2 linked regions of the Sus scrofa genome follow. The protein of the gene in region 2 purifies or fractionates together with the protein of the main gene of each other region. This does not show direct contact. Links are inferred from orthologs where the notes say so. Each region holds a gene or a part of one and is shown on either strand. Other genes may lie near its edges.

The links.
Region 1: the proteins of GP6 (region 2) and LYN purify together in Homo sapiens (affinity purification with western blotting; 5 studies listed by BioGRID and IntAct, with this or other methods). This does not show direct contact. The link is inferred for Sus scrofa from reciprocal best matches to the Homo sapiens genes GP6 and LYN.

Annotation. Positions count from the first base shown.
Region 1 is NC_010446.5:75,848,393-75,855,588, reverse strand, and holds part of LYN (tyrosine-protein kinase Lyn), read left to right. Parts: intron 1-5,200; coding exon 5,201-5,337; intron 5,338-7,196. UniProt on the Homo sapiens protein: Non-receptor tyrosine-protein kinase that transmits signals from cell surface receptors and plays an important role in the regulation of innate and adaptive immune responses, hematopoiesis, responses to growth factors and cytokines, integrin signaling, but also responses to DNA damage and genotoxic agents.
Region 2 is NC_010448.4:59,229,872-59,237,067, forward strand, and holds part of GP6 (platelet glycoprotein VI), read right to left. Parts: intron 3,968-7,196; coding exon 3,932-3,967; intron 3,824-3,931; coding exon 3,566-3,823; intron 1-3,565.

The sequences.
Region 1 (7,196 bases), on a different chromosome or scaffold from region 2:
ATATCACACAGTTAATCATTGAGACACCCAGGCTTTGAGTTTAATGACCCAACTCCACAGTGTTCACTCTAAAATATTTTGCAAATTGTGGTGTCTTCCCCAGGAATCTTTAAGAGAAAATTTCTGCATAGGATCTTGTACCTACAAGTGGACTTTAGAACGTAACCAAGACGGTGATAGGTGTCCTTTAAGACATTTTTTTCTGTACACATTAAATATATATATATATTTCAATCAGTAATGATTGGTGGTCAAGAACATCAAATTACACACATCTCTCTTTTTAACCCATCTTATTCTCATAGTGTGTCAGTTCAGCTTAATTTAATGAAACCTCCACTGTTGATGGGCATCTGGGGTGTATCTGCCTGTAATAATCTAAGTATGAACATTCTTGTGCCGGGTACAAGTGTGTCTGAAAAACAAATCCTCACCATAAAAACAGACAACCCCCCCAAGTATGTGAAGTGATGGATATGTTAACTGTTTTGAGGTAATCATTTCACAATATCTACGTAGATCAAATCACCCCATTGTACACCCTACACTTACCCAATGTTATATGTCACTTATATCTCAGTGAGACTGGAGAAGAAAAAAAAAAGAAGAACACATCTCCAGAAGTGGAATTTCAGGTGGATAGCTCTTTCTTGGCTGAGCAGGTGGTTAACTGTGGGACATTACCCGGTCTTACCAGATGATAAACAAGAAGTCTTTTTTTTTCTTTTTTTGCCATTTCTTTGGCTGCATATGGAGGTTCCAAGGCTGGGGGTTGAATTGGAGCTGTTGCTGCCAGCCTACACCAGAGCCACAGCAACATGGGATCCGAGCCATGCCTGCGACCTACACCACAGCTCACGGCAACGCCGGATCCTTAACCCACTGAGCAAGGCCAGGAATTGAACCCACAACCTCGTGGTTCCTGGTCGGATTCTTTAACAACTGAGTCTGTTTAGGTTTTTCTTTTTTGAAGGAATTTAGCATTCTCCTGCTGTTAAATGAGGATGAGGTGTTGCTAACCAGTATTTGTCCCAGGGTGGAAAAGCCACTCACCTCCTTTTCTGGATGTGTTGGCGGATGTCTCCTTGTGATAGAGGGTTTCTCAGCTGTCTGTCTCATTAGACTATCTAGCTGAGCTTATGTCATGAGCATCCCAGGGGTATATTTGCCTGTCAGACCCTCAGGTATTACTGTGATTAACCCAGAGTCTCTGCATGTAAAATGTGCCTTCATTTAGTGTTCATAAAAAAAAAAAAAAAAAAGACATTGCCACACACATCGTCAACAGCACTCTTAAGTCAAACTCATCGTAAGAAACTTTAGGATTCTTAGGCCGAGGCTTCCCTTTCTGGGGAGAACAGGTCAGCTTCCTCTTTTCTGGTGAAAGCCCTGTGACACAGGCTGCCCTCCGACCCTTCCTGCCAGGAAGCCACTTGGGCAAATCTACTACCCATCAGGTTCCACTTTTCTTTCTCTGCTTTTCCCTGCCCTTAGTTTTCTGTTTCCAGCTTCTTAATTAATGTTATTATTATTATTATTATTTTTGTAAAAAGCATTTTGAATCCTTCTGAGAAAGAAGCAGGCTATAAAAACAATCTCTGTAGCATCATTAATTAAAAAAAAAAAAAAACAACAACCTACAAGTTTCAAAATAGCCATTCTTTGGCCAAAGGGGAAAAAATGCGCAGGCTTTAGGCCAAAGCTGTGTGAGTCCACCCTTCACTAGTGCTGTGACTTTGAGCCAGTTCACCTCATGCCTCAGTTTACACCTCTGTAATGTGGGGTTAATAATACCTGGGTCTTGGAGTTCCTTTGAGGATTAAATGAGATGCTCAGAAAATTACAGATGCTTAATTGAAAAATACTAAGGTGTGAGTCATGGTAAAGCACAGCTCCTATCAGTCGAAATCGTCGAAATCATGTAACTGTTCTGTTTTTTTTGGGGTGCATTGTGTTTTGTGCTTTTCTGATACCTTTGCACAGCTAAAGAATTGAGGACCTGGTGTGAGCTGGTGGTGTTTATCCCATGCTACAAGGGGAGTGCTCTTTGAGCTTTTTTGCTGAAGTGTTTGCACACAGTGCCCCAAATTCAAAGCTCAGTGCCAGGGCAGAGAGAGGCCACTAACTCCATGGGGAGCCCTGTCCTGCTGCTTTCCTCTAGAGGAAAACAGGACATACACCTGGTTTTCAGTTATCCATGGTGATGGGGGACGGGAAATGATGAAATAGGCATAAAAAAATGATCATCTGCAGATTTTACCATCCCTCCCACATCCACCTGCTTTTCATTTTCATTCTCTGTCTTCCTTCCCATGGCTGCTGCCCCTGAACCATCTCCATCACCCTTCACAGGTCTGGCTCAATGACTCCCCTCCATATAACACCTGCCAAGTGCTCTTCTAACCTCATCTGCTGCCTTCACACACGCATGTGTGCATGCACTACATGGGTTCCTAATATTTGGGGAAAAACTGTTTTTGCATAAATTGTTCATACTATCTTCTTATTTTCTCCCCTTCCAACTTTTTATTTTGAAAATTTCAAATGTATAGGAAAAAGAAAGACTATCCTTACCCAGATGCACTAATTTCTTACTGTTTTGCCACATTCGTCTCTACTCTCCATCTCCCCCTCCCTTTTCCTTTTGGGTGGAGGTGTTGAAAGTTGCACACTCCCAGAGCCCCCATCCCTAATCCGCCTCGCCTGCATCTCCTCAAATGTGGACATTCTCCCGCATGACCGCGGTGCCTTCATCACGCCTATAACACACACAAGGTCCAGGATCCTGTCTACACATATTCGGATTCCCCCAGTGATCCAGCCACGTCCTCCTCCCACCCACGCCCATTCATTCAGGGCAGCAGCCGAGCGCACAGTCCTTGCATTCTTGTCGTGAGCACTCCCAGAGCATCTGCTCTCTGTCGGCACTGGTGGAGGTGCTGGGAACATTACAGGGAAGAAGCAGGCTTGGGGCTGGCCCTTCCGCTATGGTCCACCTGGGGAGCTGACCTTAAATAAACCCACACGTAACGGAATGTCGGTCCTAATAAGAAACACGAGAGTGAAGCGTGAAAAGTGGGCAGAGGGGAGCTTGGTGAAGATCTGTCTGGGGAGGTAACATTTGTGTCCAGATCTGAAAAAAGACAGAGCTGGAAAGGGATAGAGAGCGCGCGCGAGGGCCCGGGAAAAAAAGGGGCTGTCCCAAGCCGGTGCGCGTGCGTCTGGCCCGGGGAGCGCGCAGACCTGACCCGCGTGCGTCGTGGGCGGGGGAGCGCGCAGGCCGGGCGCGCGCGTGCGTCCTGAGGACCCTCGGGGCTCCTCCCCTGGGAGCTCAGGGTGCCTTCCAGGGTCCGTACCGGATGGTTTTTGCGCCACCTCGTTCTCTTGGTTCTGCAGCACCGTTTCAATGGCGATGATTTAAACCCAGCTTTCCTGAGGGGTGGAGATGGGTGGGACTGGCCAGAAAAGAACACCCCTGTTTATTTACAGATCAGCTAGAAAACCCACCTCCATTACAGAAACTTTAGCACATGAAAAAAAAAAAAAAAAAAAGTGCTGTTTTGAGTCAAAGAACTACTTGCTTCCCCTTTATTTTGGGAACTACAGCTCGCTAGTTTCAGAAAGAGGTGTGACTGTCCTTAGAGGCTCCCTACGTCAACCCAGGAAAAGATAAACAAGGCGCAGATCGAAGTCCTCCTGGAAGCCTGGGGAACTAAACGGGACTAGGGGCAGGATGAGCTGGGAAAACAGTGCAGAGGGTGACAGACAAGTGGTCCTGAGGTTTCCTAGAACAGTTCCTCCTCCAGGAGGTGTGGCGAATTCCCACCACTCGCCTTCCCTGTGTGAAACCATCTCTCTGAAGTTCTAGGCCAGGGTCCCCACTGGCAGTGCTTCAGAATGACACCCATCAGCGGGGGAGCACCTCCCACCCCACCCCCGGAGGGATGCCTGGTGCGGGAGAACTTCCTGGCCCGTGTCCCAGGACTCTGTTCCATGAGCCCAGGGCATTCTGGTGTTCTTTCAGGTTTGGGAACGGGCCCTCTAGGACCCTCTGATGGAGCTCCTAATAGATTTTGTTTCTTTTTAAATGTATACATTTGACCCCAAGGCTGTAGTGTGAGGCCAGAGTCCTGTGCTATTTCAGTGCTGTGACCCCCTCTTTAGTCTCCAGAGTGCTTTGGGGGGTGTTCTATGCATCCCAGTCCTAACGGAGTGAACAAAGAAGAGTTATCATTTGGAAGCGTGATTACGTCCTTGCTGGCTGAGCACTAGCCATCTTCTGAGGCTGGCTCTCCCCTGAAGCCTCAGTCACAGGCATGGCCGTCTGATGGCACCTGTTTGTGCCCCCCAGCTCCACCATCTCTCCTGGTGTCCTCACTCACAAGTCTTACTGGGAAGACTACTGGCTGTGATTGTTTGGGGGTTCCTGTAAACATCTTTTCTCCCACATCCTAGTCCCCTCTTTTATTTTCAGTCTAGGTGAAGGCCACCTCTGTTCCCCAGGCCCCAAGCCACATTGGGCTGGCGCCTGGCTCTGTGCCTTCTGGCTCTTAATCATGCTCGCCCTTGAAGCCCCAGGCCTCTCACTTCACCTTGCAAGGTGGCCTTGGCTTTCAGCTGTGCCTCCTCTCCAGCCCTCCTCCTGGACTTCCTTACTTGTTCCCTGAAGGGATCGGCTTAAACTAATTCCCTGAAGGGGCCGTGTGAGCTCAGGGCCAATACTTTGCACATGAAGTTCCTTCTTCCCAGAATCTCGTTGCTGCCTTTGCCACCCAGCTGACATCACCCGCATTTTGAATCACAGAGCATTTCCTTCCAGATGCTTCCCTGACATCCTTTTCCTCTTGCCTCGGTTCCACGTCCTTTCCTCTGTCCTGTGCATCCTCTCATCATTGACTTGCCACATTGTAGTGTAATTTTCATTCACACGTCTTCGCCACAAGATTAGGAGTGTCTTTAGAGCAGGAATTATGTCTTGCAGACATAGAATTGATTCTCCATAGTTGTCGAATGAATGAATGCGTGCATGCATGAACAAGCAGCTGATTTGTGAACAGCATCCCCTTTTGAGTTTGTGAAACCATCTGTGATGAAAAAATCAAAGTATGTTCTTTTTGCTCTTCGTTAATGGAGGGATTTTGGTGGCTTGGAGCCAGTTCTAGAATGGTAAAACAATGCCGTTACTTTTCTGTTCCAACAGGAACTATGGGATGTATAAAATCAAAAAGGAAAGACAATCTGAATGACGATGGAGTAGATTTGAAGACTCAACCAGTACGTAATACTGACCGCACTATTTATGTGAGAGATCCAACGTCCAATAAACAGCAAAGGCCAGTAAGTAGATAGTCTCAGGGGAGCCTTCCCACAGCAGGATCAAAGCATGGCTGCATAATTTAAACATCAGATCTGTACCATGTTCATGCAAAAAAAAAAAAAAAAAAAAATCCTGTCAGTTACTTGGGCCTCAAATAATTTTTTTTTTCTTTTGCCACTGCGCTCACGGCATATGGAACTTCCCAGGCCAGGGATTGAATCTGAGCCACTGCAGAGAAAATATCAGATCCTTAACCCACTGCACCGCAGCGGGAACTCCCTCAACTATTTTTTTATATACTTTGTAACTTACTCCTTTAAAGAGTTTATAAATATTTCCAGGAAAACCAGGCCACTTATTGTACAATAAAGGGGCCTTTGGTCGCCTTCTTATGTGTGGGGGTAATCACCTTTCATTATCACTGGTGTGAAAACACGCCCTTCATGTATAAAAATATGTCTCTGAGCTTGCGTGATTTCAGATTGGTAGTGGGATTAGTGCAGTGGTCTGGAAGCAGAGGAAATGCTGGATTCAAGTCTGAAGCCAAAATAGGTGCTAATATGTCCTTTGGCATATCACACTTTACCCCATCTTGTCATTCTTAGGTTAATTCAAAAGAGTACGAACACTGAAGTTGTCATGACTTATTACAGAGAATTAAAAGATTTTATTAAAAACCACAATCAATTTTGTCCTCTAACTTTGGACAGATATCTGTACCAACATTTTTATACAAGTGATGTACTATTTGATGCATTTGAGAAATGCTTGGCAAAGGAAGAACTAATATCTCATATGGAAAAGAGGAACAGAGCTTTGGATAATTATAACCCTCAATGCATTTTATTTCAGATCTTGTATCCTTTCCATCTATTCGTCCACTATATATATGTACATCTCCCTTTGCCTGGTTTTTATGGAATTTCTCAGCATTTAAGCTGGAAGCAGGTTATTTCAGGTTAGCCCAAATGCCTTCATTAAGAGATTTTAGGGTTCCCTGGTGGCTCAACGGGTTAAGCATCCAGCGTTGTCACTGCTTTGGCTCTGGTTACTGCTGTGGTGCAGGTTTGATCCCTGGCCCAGGAACTTCTGCATGCCTCGGGCTCAACCCCCCACCCCCCAAAAAAAGAAAAAAGAAAAAGCAGTGGAGCTGAAGAGTGAATTTATATTATGCTATTAATTATCATATATGATATTTCCAGGTACATAAGTTAACTTTGTAATTTTATATATAGACACTCAAATTGTATAAGATTATTAATAACTTTAACAATTAAGTAATTGTAAGTACATATAAAAGTAATATTTTAAAACACATCACATGAATAGGTATAGGCATGGAGCTATACATGTAAATATGACTAATAGAAAATGAACTAGTACAAGGAATTGGAGTCACAAATAGTTTTCTTATTATACACTTCAAAGATCTCATAAAAAGGATCTGGCTTTTTCTGGTATCATGTGCTGTATAGATGTTACATGCTTTAAAAGGTTTTTTTTTTTTTTTTTTAAAGAGATTAAAGAATATGTCCTTTATTCAGAAAAGCAAAGGGAAACCGTATGAACTCATGCACCATTTTTCCTATTATTAAGAGGAAAGGAAGTTAAGGGTTTTCTTGTGGCACAACTGGCGACAGATTCGATGCTGTCACTGTTGTGGTGCAGGTTCAATCCCTGGTCCGGGAACTTCCATATGCTGCATGTATGGCCAAAAGAAAAGAGTAACAATTACAAAGTTAAAAATTAAGTTAGAAAGCAGAAGTGGTAAACGTGCTTGAAGTCTCTCAGTTCCCACATGTACGGGAGCATTTACTTGTGCCTCTGGTTACGGAGGCCCTTGGTCATGGACCTTCTTCCACGGCCGTAGATAACACTC
Region 2 (7,196 bases):
CAACGCCTGATCCTTAACCCACTGAGCAAGGCCAGGGATCGAACCTGCAACCTCATGGTTCCCAGTTGGATTCGTTTACCACTGCGCCACGACAGGAACTCCTAAAAAATGTTTAGTTAAAAAAAATTAAAACGGGAGAGTTTCCATTGTGGCTCAGCAGTAAAGAATCTGACCAGTATCCATGAGGACGTGGGTTCGATCCCACTGGCCTCACTCAGTGGGTTAAGGATCCAGCATTGCCATGAGCTGTGGTGTAGGTTGCAGACAAGGCTCGGATCTGGCGTTGCTGTAGCTGTTGGCATAGGTCAGGCAGCTACAGCTCTGATTCAACCCCTAGCCTGGGAAACTCTGTATGCAGCAGGCGACATCCTAAAAAGTAAATAAATAAATAAATAAATAAAATGATTGCCTGAGGCAATATGTACTAATAAGCATTTAATAGAATACGTAATGCACAACGACCACCCAAAATATGATGGTGGTGACAAAATAGCTTAAGCTTATACTGTAAACTTATCGGAAACTTGTATTAAAGTCCAGATGCCACAGGGACCGGCTACCTAGCACCAGGGAACTCTACCCAATATTCTGTGATCATCTATGGGGGGAAAGACTCTGAAAGAGAATGGATGTGTCTATATGTATAACTGAATCACTCTGTTGCACAGAAGAAACTACCAATCTTGAAAATCAACTATACTTCGATAAAACTTTAAAAAATGAAAAAAAAAAAAAGTACCAGATTCCAGGTGCTGTTCCAGCCCGTGACATATATCCATTCACTGAGTCCTCACAAAGACCTAAGAGTGTCCATACTTTGTACGTAAAACTAAGATGCAATGGAAAAAAAATAAAAAGCATTGTAAAATAAACATCTCAAAAAAAAAAAAACAACAAAAACCTAAGATGCACATTGCTCAATCACTTGGTCCAAGATCACAAGACAGGAAGTGGCAGAGCTGAAATGTGCAATCACAGAGGTGGGCTCCAGGCTGTCCAAATGTGAGCCTACCCTGCCGTGTAATTTGATATTTTTATCATCCTAGAGCATGGCCGACCACGCCTGGAATCCCCTACTCACAGCAGCAAAAGGTGCCTGATAATTCATTCAATATTGGTGTTTGCTCTGAGCAACTATTTTGTGTTCGTCTCTGTTTTCTAAGAAGGAAGCCCACTGGGAAGAAAGACTAGCCAGAGGCAAATAAATAAGTAAATAGGTGGCAAACGATGAGTGCCGTTTTAAATCGGGGTAGATTTTAAATAGGATGGGGAGGGAGATACTTAATGAGACGATAGCCTTGAGTCAGTCCCCAAAAACCACTGGTGCCAGGACCTCAGGGCCTGGAATGAGGGTAAAGTGAGTTAGGCACTCTCCTGGGAGGCAGACACATGTACAGGGAATAGAATATCCAGGCTTTAAACAAAGACAGAATCCAGCTGTGCCCCGGGGAGCCATGGCGAGGTCTAAAACACGAACTGACCCTGCCATGTAGGTCATTTGATGTCACTATCCTCGCAATCCACACCTGGCACTCGGTAGTCACAGCGTCTGAGGAGCTCCTCTTGGGGCTCGGCGGGTTAGGACCGGACTAGTATCCATGAGGACGCAGGTTCAATCCCCGGCCCCGCTGAGTGGGTAAGGATCCTACGTTGCTATGAGCTGTGGTGTAGGTTGCAGACAAGGCTTGGATCTGGCATTGCTGTGGCTGTGGTGTAGGCCGGCGGCTACAGCTCTGATTCGACCCCTAGCCTGGGAAGCTCCATATGCCACAGGTGCTGCCCTAAAAAGATTTTTTTACTGTAAGTTACTAAAACTTACAGTATTTTAAGTTTATACAAAAAAAAAAAAAAAAAAAACCAGAATTTATTATCACGGAAGCAAAAACTCATCAATATTTTAAAATCTACTTTGGAAAAAAATTTCGTAATGCGTTAGCGGAGTTAGGTGACTCAGAGGGTTAAAGATCCCACGTCGTCACTACTGTGGTTCAGGTCACTGCTGTGGTGATGGGTTCGATCCTTGGCTGGGGACCGTCCATGTGCCATAGGTGCAGCCAAAAAAAAAAAAAGGTAAAATGCTTTAGAAATAAAAGGATAAGCTGAGAACATTTTATTCCATGAAAAAATAGAACATGGATAGAGGGGTACACATTTTTTCCTTGCATCAGCCTCGGATATGGCTCGGATGGTACTGTCACTGAGCAGGGCTGGGGGCAGGGGGAGGGGAGTCCTGGGCACAAAAGCCTTTCCATGTCCCCCATTTCTAGTTTTTAGGAAATGGGCCTCATTCAGCCTCCCTGGCCTTCCCTGGGTTCCGAGCGACAGGTTCAGACAGTTGATGATTGGGGAAGGGAGGGGACGCAAACGCCCTGGAGGCACAGTCAAGGAAGAATGGTACCGCCCTGGGACAAGGTCCTGGTTCTCTCCCAAGGGATGCACAGAACAACGTAGGCATGTTATGCACCTAGAAAGAAGAGTTACATTCCTTATGCTTCTTTGAGAAATGAATACTTTAAAAATGTAAAGCTTGCAGCCCTTCCTTGTGCTTCTCCCTGGCTTAACTGCTTCACCTGTGAGCTACAGACTCGGCACCCTGAGCTCAATTGCCTGTGGGTTAAAGATTATTAGTACCTGATGTTTTTCAGGAACTTTCCTAGTTTGTTCTAATTTCTGATCAAGACCCCCCCCTTCACAGGTACTGTTATTCTAGACAAGACCACCACGCTGAGATCCCCTGAGGCCAGCTTCGATGACTAGGCTTCCCCTAAAGAAAGAAGCACGCATGTCTGCCCCAATTCCGATTCCTATGCAAAAACCTGTCTTATCTGCTTTTTACTACGAAACTCCCTACCCTTCTTCCAGTGGAGGACACCGTCTTTAAGGCATTTGCCTGCCGCCGCCTCCTCTGCCTGGCAAAGCAATATTTTTTTTTTCCTCCTTCACCCAAAATTCTGTCGCGGAGTTTCTATGGGGCACTGGTGGACAGAGGCAATGGGACTGATCTTCCTTAAAACTGTGATATCCTCTATGTCTTTCATGTTTTTGCATTGATTTGGGCTTTTTTTCCCCAAGGTATATCATTAACATTACTTATGGAGATTCCTGAAGTTTTTGGCACTTCTCCTAAATTTAGCATTCAAGACCAAAGCCTCACTTGCCACACCCTCATCCCAGGCCCCCCCGGGGGGGGCTTTATTATTATTATTATTTGTCTTTTTGCCTTTTCTAGGGCCGCTCCCCTGGCATATGGAGTTCCCAGGCTAGGGGTCCAATCGGAACTGCAGCCACCGGTCTACACCAGAGTCACAGCAACGCGGGATCCGAGCCGCGTCTGCGACCTACACCACAGCTCACAGCAACGCTGGATCCTTAACCCACTGAACAAGGCCAGGGATCGAACCTGCAGCCTCATGGTTCCTAGTCGGATTCGTTAACCACTGCGCCACGACGGGAACTCCGGGGGTAGGGGGGCTTTCGATTTCCAGCCCTCATCACCCCCTCCCCTGCCGCCCACTTGGAGCCTGTGGCTACACGTCCAGCCACACCCTCCCCACCCCCCTGTTACCGGTAGCGACCAGCTCCAGCGTGTTGCTGGCTGGAGACCAGAGGGTCCCGTTCTGGTAGGAGCAGCGGTAGCGGCCGGCGAATCTTTGTTCCATGACCGGGATGGAGAGGACCGCCTGGTCAAAGTACTTTCCGGACCGCAGTTCCTCCAGGCGGTACAAGTCCACGTCTGGTGGCCCCTGGCAGCGGACCGTCACCAACTTACCCAGGGGCACCAGGGAGCTGGGCAGGGCCTGGAGGGAGGGCTTGGGCAGGGCGCCTGGAAGGGAAGCGGAGCCTCCTAGAGGGCAGCGGCCAAAGGGCGCCCCCTCCTGGGCGCTCCGGCTCCCTCCCGCTGGCTGAACCCACAAGAGGGATCTGGACTCACCTGTCTGAGCGTGTGTCACCTGCCCCAGACACAGCCCTGAGGAGAGAAGGAAAGAGTCCGTTACCAGGGCCGGGCGGGGGGAGCCCACGCTTCCTGCGCGCTGGGCCGCGCTGTAGGAAACCTGCCCGCATTCGCTTTCTTTGGTCGCGTGGCCCGCCTCGCCCCCGGCATAGCCGAAGTGAATGACACCACCCATAAAAGGCCACGATCATTATGCGTCCACGTATCTGAAATGTTCGGAAGAGATAAATCCAGCCAAAGACCTGGATGAGTTGGCTGATGGGGACTGCGCAGAGCGGCGAGTGAAGCGTGATTGCAGGGAGCTCGGGATTTCCTTTTGGAGTAGTTAGAAAGTCTGGGAACTGGTCAGGGGTGGTGTTTGCACAGCACCGTGAGTGGATTGAATGTCATTAACGGTCAATTTTAGGTTTGCTTTTTTTTTTTTTCCTTTTTAGAGCAGCACATGGAGGTTCCCAGGCTAGGAGTCCAATCGGAGCTGTAGCCGCCAACCTGCACCACAACCACAGCAATGTAATTTAACATTTTTTTAATGTATCCGTGCAAGCTTTAAAGTTTATAAAATACAGAATTTCCTCTTCTAGAAAATATTAAAAATAAAATAACCTGGGTTTCTAGGCTTAAAAGGAAAAAAAAAAAAAAAAAAGGAGGCGGACAGTGTCGATTTGATACATTTGTAAGTTACCAGACGGTGACCACGGGTAGTCCTAGCTAACAGCTCCATCCCCATGAGTCGTTGCCATTTCTTTTCAGGGAGGGAGAAAATTTAAGAGGTGGTCCCATAGCAACTTTCCAGGATAGATGACAGTACTATTAGCTATAATCCCCATGCAGTATATTAGATCCAGATGGGGTCTCCCGCATTATATCTTGAGACCTCAGGCATTCCCATCATGGCTCAGTGGTTAACAAACCCAACTAGCATCCACGAGGACACAGGTTTGATCCCTGGCCTCATTCAGTGGGTTAAGGATCTGGCATTGCCGTGAGCTGTGGTGTAGCTCACAGATGTGGCTTGGATTCCGCGTTGCTGTGGCTGTGGTGTAGACCGCCAGCTACAGCTTTGATTCCACTCCTAGCCTGGGAACCTCCATATGCTTCGGGTTCAGCCCTAAAAGAATGAAAACAAAACAAAACAAAAAGGACCTCAAGTTGTGGGAATCCTGGATTTCTCCCTGTTCTATGCCTTTGGGTGACATCATTGTTTTATAATCACATTATTAAGACTGTGCAAATATTATCCACACCTGAGCCTTACAACCTCCCTATGTATTTTTTCGTATTTGTTTTCCCTAAGATCAGTCACGGTATGTTCTATTTCCCTCTGCACAGCGTTCCTGGAATCCGTATCTTGTTCTTTCCACAATAGTCGATCGACTCTCCATGTAATTTTACACGCCTATCAAACCGTACGATCTATAAGTTCCACTGTTTTCCTGGGAGGTGCCCTCTCCCCGTTTTCCCGTCTATCGGAAAGAATTCTTCTCTAGATTCAACAACTGCCCTTTTTCTCTCAAACGAAGACTCTTTTTTTTTTTTTTTTTTCCCCACCTTTTGGCTGAGTTAGCAGCATTGTCTGTTCTAGTCTCACCAGGGTTGGCAAAGGTAGCAAATAAAAACATAGAACTCCCTGGTAACCTTGACTATCAGATAAACCACAAACCACAGGTCATATTTTTTTGATGTGGTAACTCCCGTGAGGTCTGTGGTCCTGCAGCTGGTAGGAGCTCGAGTCAAACCCCCAGCCGCACATTTTCATGTAAGGAAGGAGGGTTTGCGGCAAAAATGCCTCAGTTTGTGTTCGAGCCACAACGGTGTGACTTTACACAAGTTACTTAACCCCTCTGGGCTTTGGTGTTCCCGCCTATAAAATGGAAATAACAGGTAGCCCTACTTCATCAGGCTGTTATGGGAATTAAATGAGTAAATATTTAAAAACATGCAATAATACAGAGCCCAATAATAAGTGCTTCCGGGTGTGTTTAAAGGATGAATAAATGCAAGAGGGAATGAATGAATGAGAGGCAGTTTGTGTTTGTAATATGCACTCTTATCCCTCAAAACACAACTGCTTCCTTCCTGCTCAGCCCCTGGGAGGCCTCTCTCTTTTTAGCGATAAAGTTCTTTGGAAGAAATAAGGAAACAATGCCCTCACGTGCCCAGCACAAAGCGTAAGAAGGAGGTGGCAGTAAAAAGGCATCTGAGCCCACCACCCGTCCAGGCAGAAGAGACTCTCATTCCCCCCGTGTTTGCGGTGGTTAATTGACAAAAAGCATATTTAAGGTGATTTGTGAAGTAATTACTGCACTCAAGCCAATTAGCACATCTGTCACCTCGTATAATTATCTCTGGGGTTTTCAAGGTGAGAAACTTAATTTTTACCCTCTGAGAAAATTTCCAGGATATTCTGCAGAGCTGTTAACTGCACTCATTATGCTCCTAGATCCTCAGAACTTACTTATTTCATAACTGGAAGCTGTACCCTCTGACCAACATCTACTTCCCCATTCCGCCGGCATGGTCCCCAGCCCCTCCCCAGCCCCCAGTTCCCAGTCCCCCACCCCCCGCCCCCAGTTCCCCCAGCCCCCAGGTCCCCGCCACCAGGCCCCCACCCCTAACCCCCATTCCCTCCCACCCTCAAACCCCAGCCCCCAACCCCCATTCCCCCCCCAGCCCCAGCCCCCAGTCCCCCGCCCCCAGCCCCTGGCAACCTCCAGTCTACTCTCTGCTTTTGTGGGTTGACTTTTTAAGGTTCCATGTACAAGTATTTTCTCCTTCTCATTTCATTTAGCATAATCCCCTCATGGTCCCTCAGGGTTCATCCACGTGGTTGCAAATGGAAGGATTATTTGCGCCCGTGCCCTAAGGCATCCTGAGCTACGTGTATAATCTAGCCCTGCTATCATTAAATCCACTTTAAAAAAAATTTTTATTGTCTTTTCAGGGCTGCACCCGCAGCATATGGAAGTTCCCAGACTAGGAGTCGAATCGGAGCTGTAGCCACAGGCCTACGCCACAGCCACAGCCACAGCCAGATCTGAGGCACGTCTGCAGCAACATCACAGCTCAGGGCAACACCGTCCTCAGGGGTGTGAGATTCATTTCCGCTGAGCCATGACGGGAACGCCTTCAAAATGTTTTTAAGTTTTATGTTTAAAGTTAACTCTTAATATAAACATTTCATAATTTGAAACAACAACAATGATTTTGTTTTTCGAGCTTGCTCATTAATACGTTAATACATTTC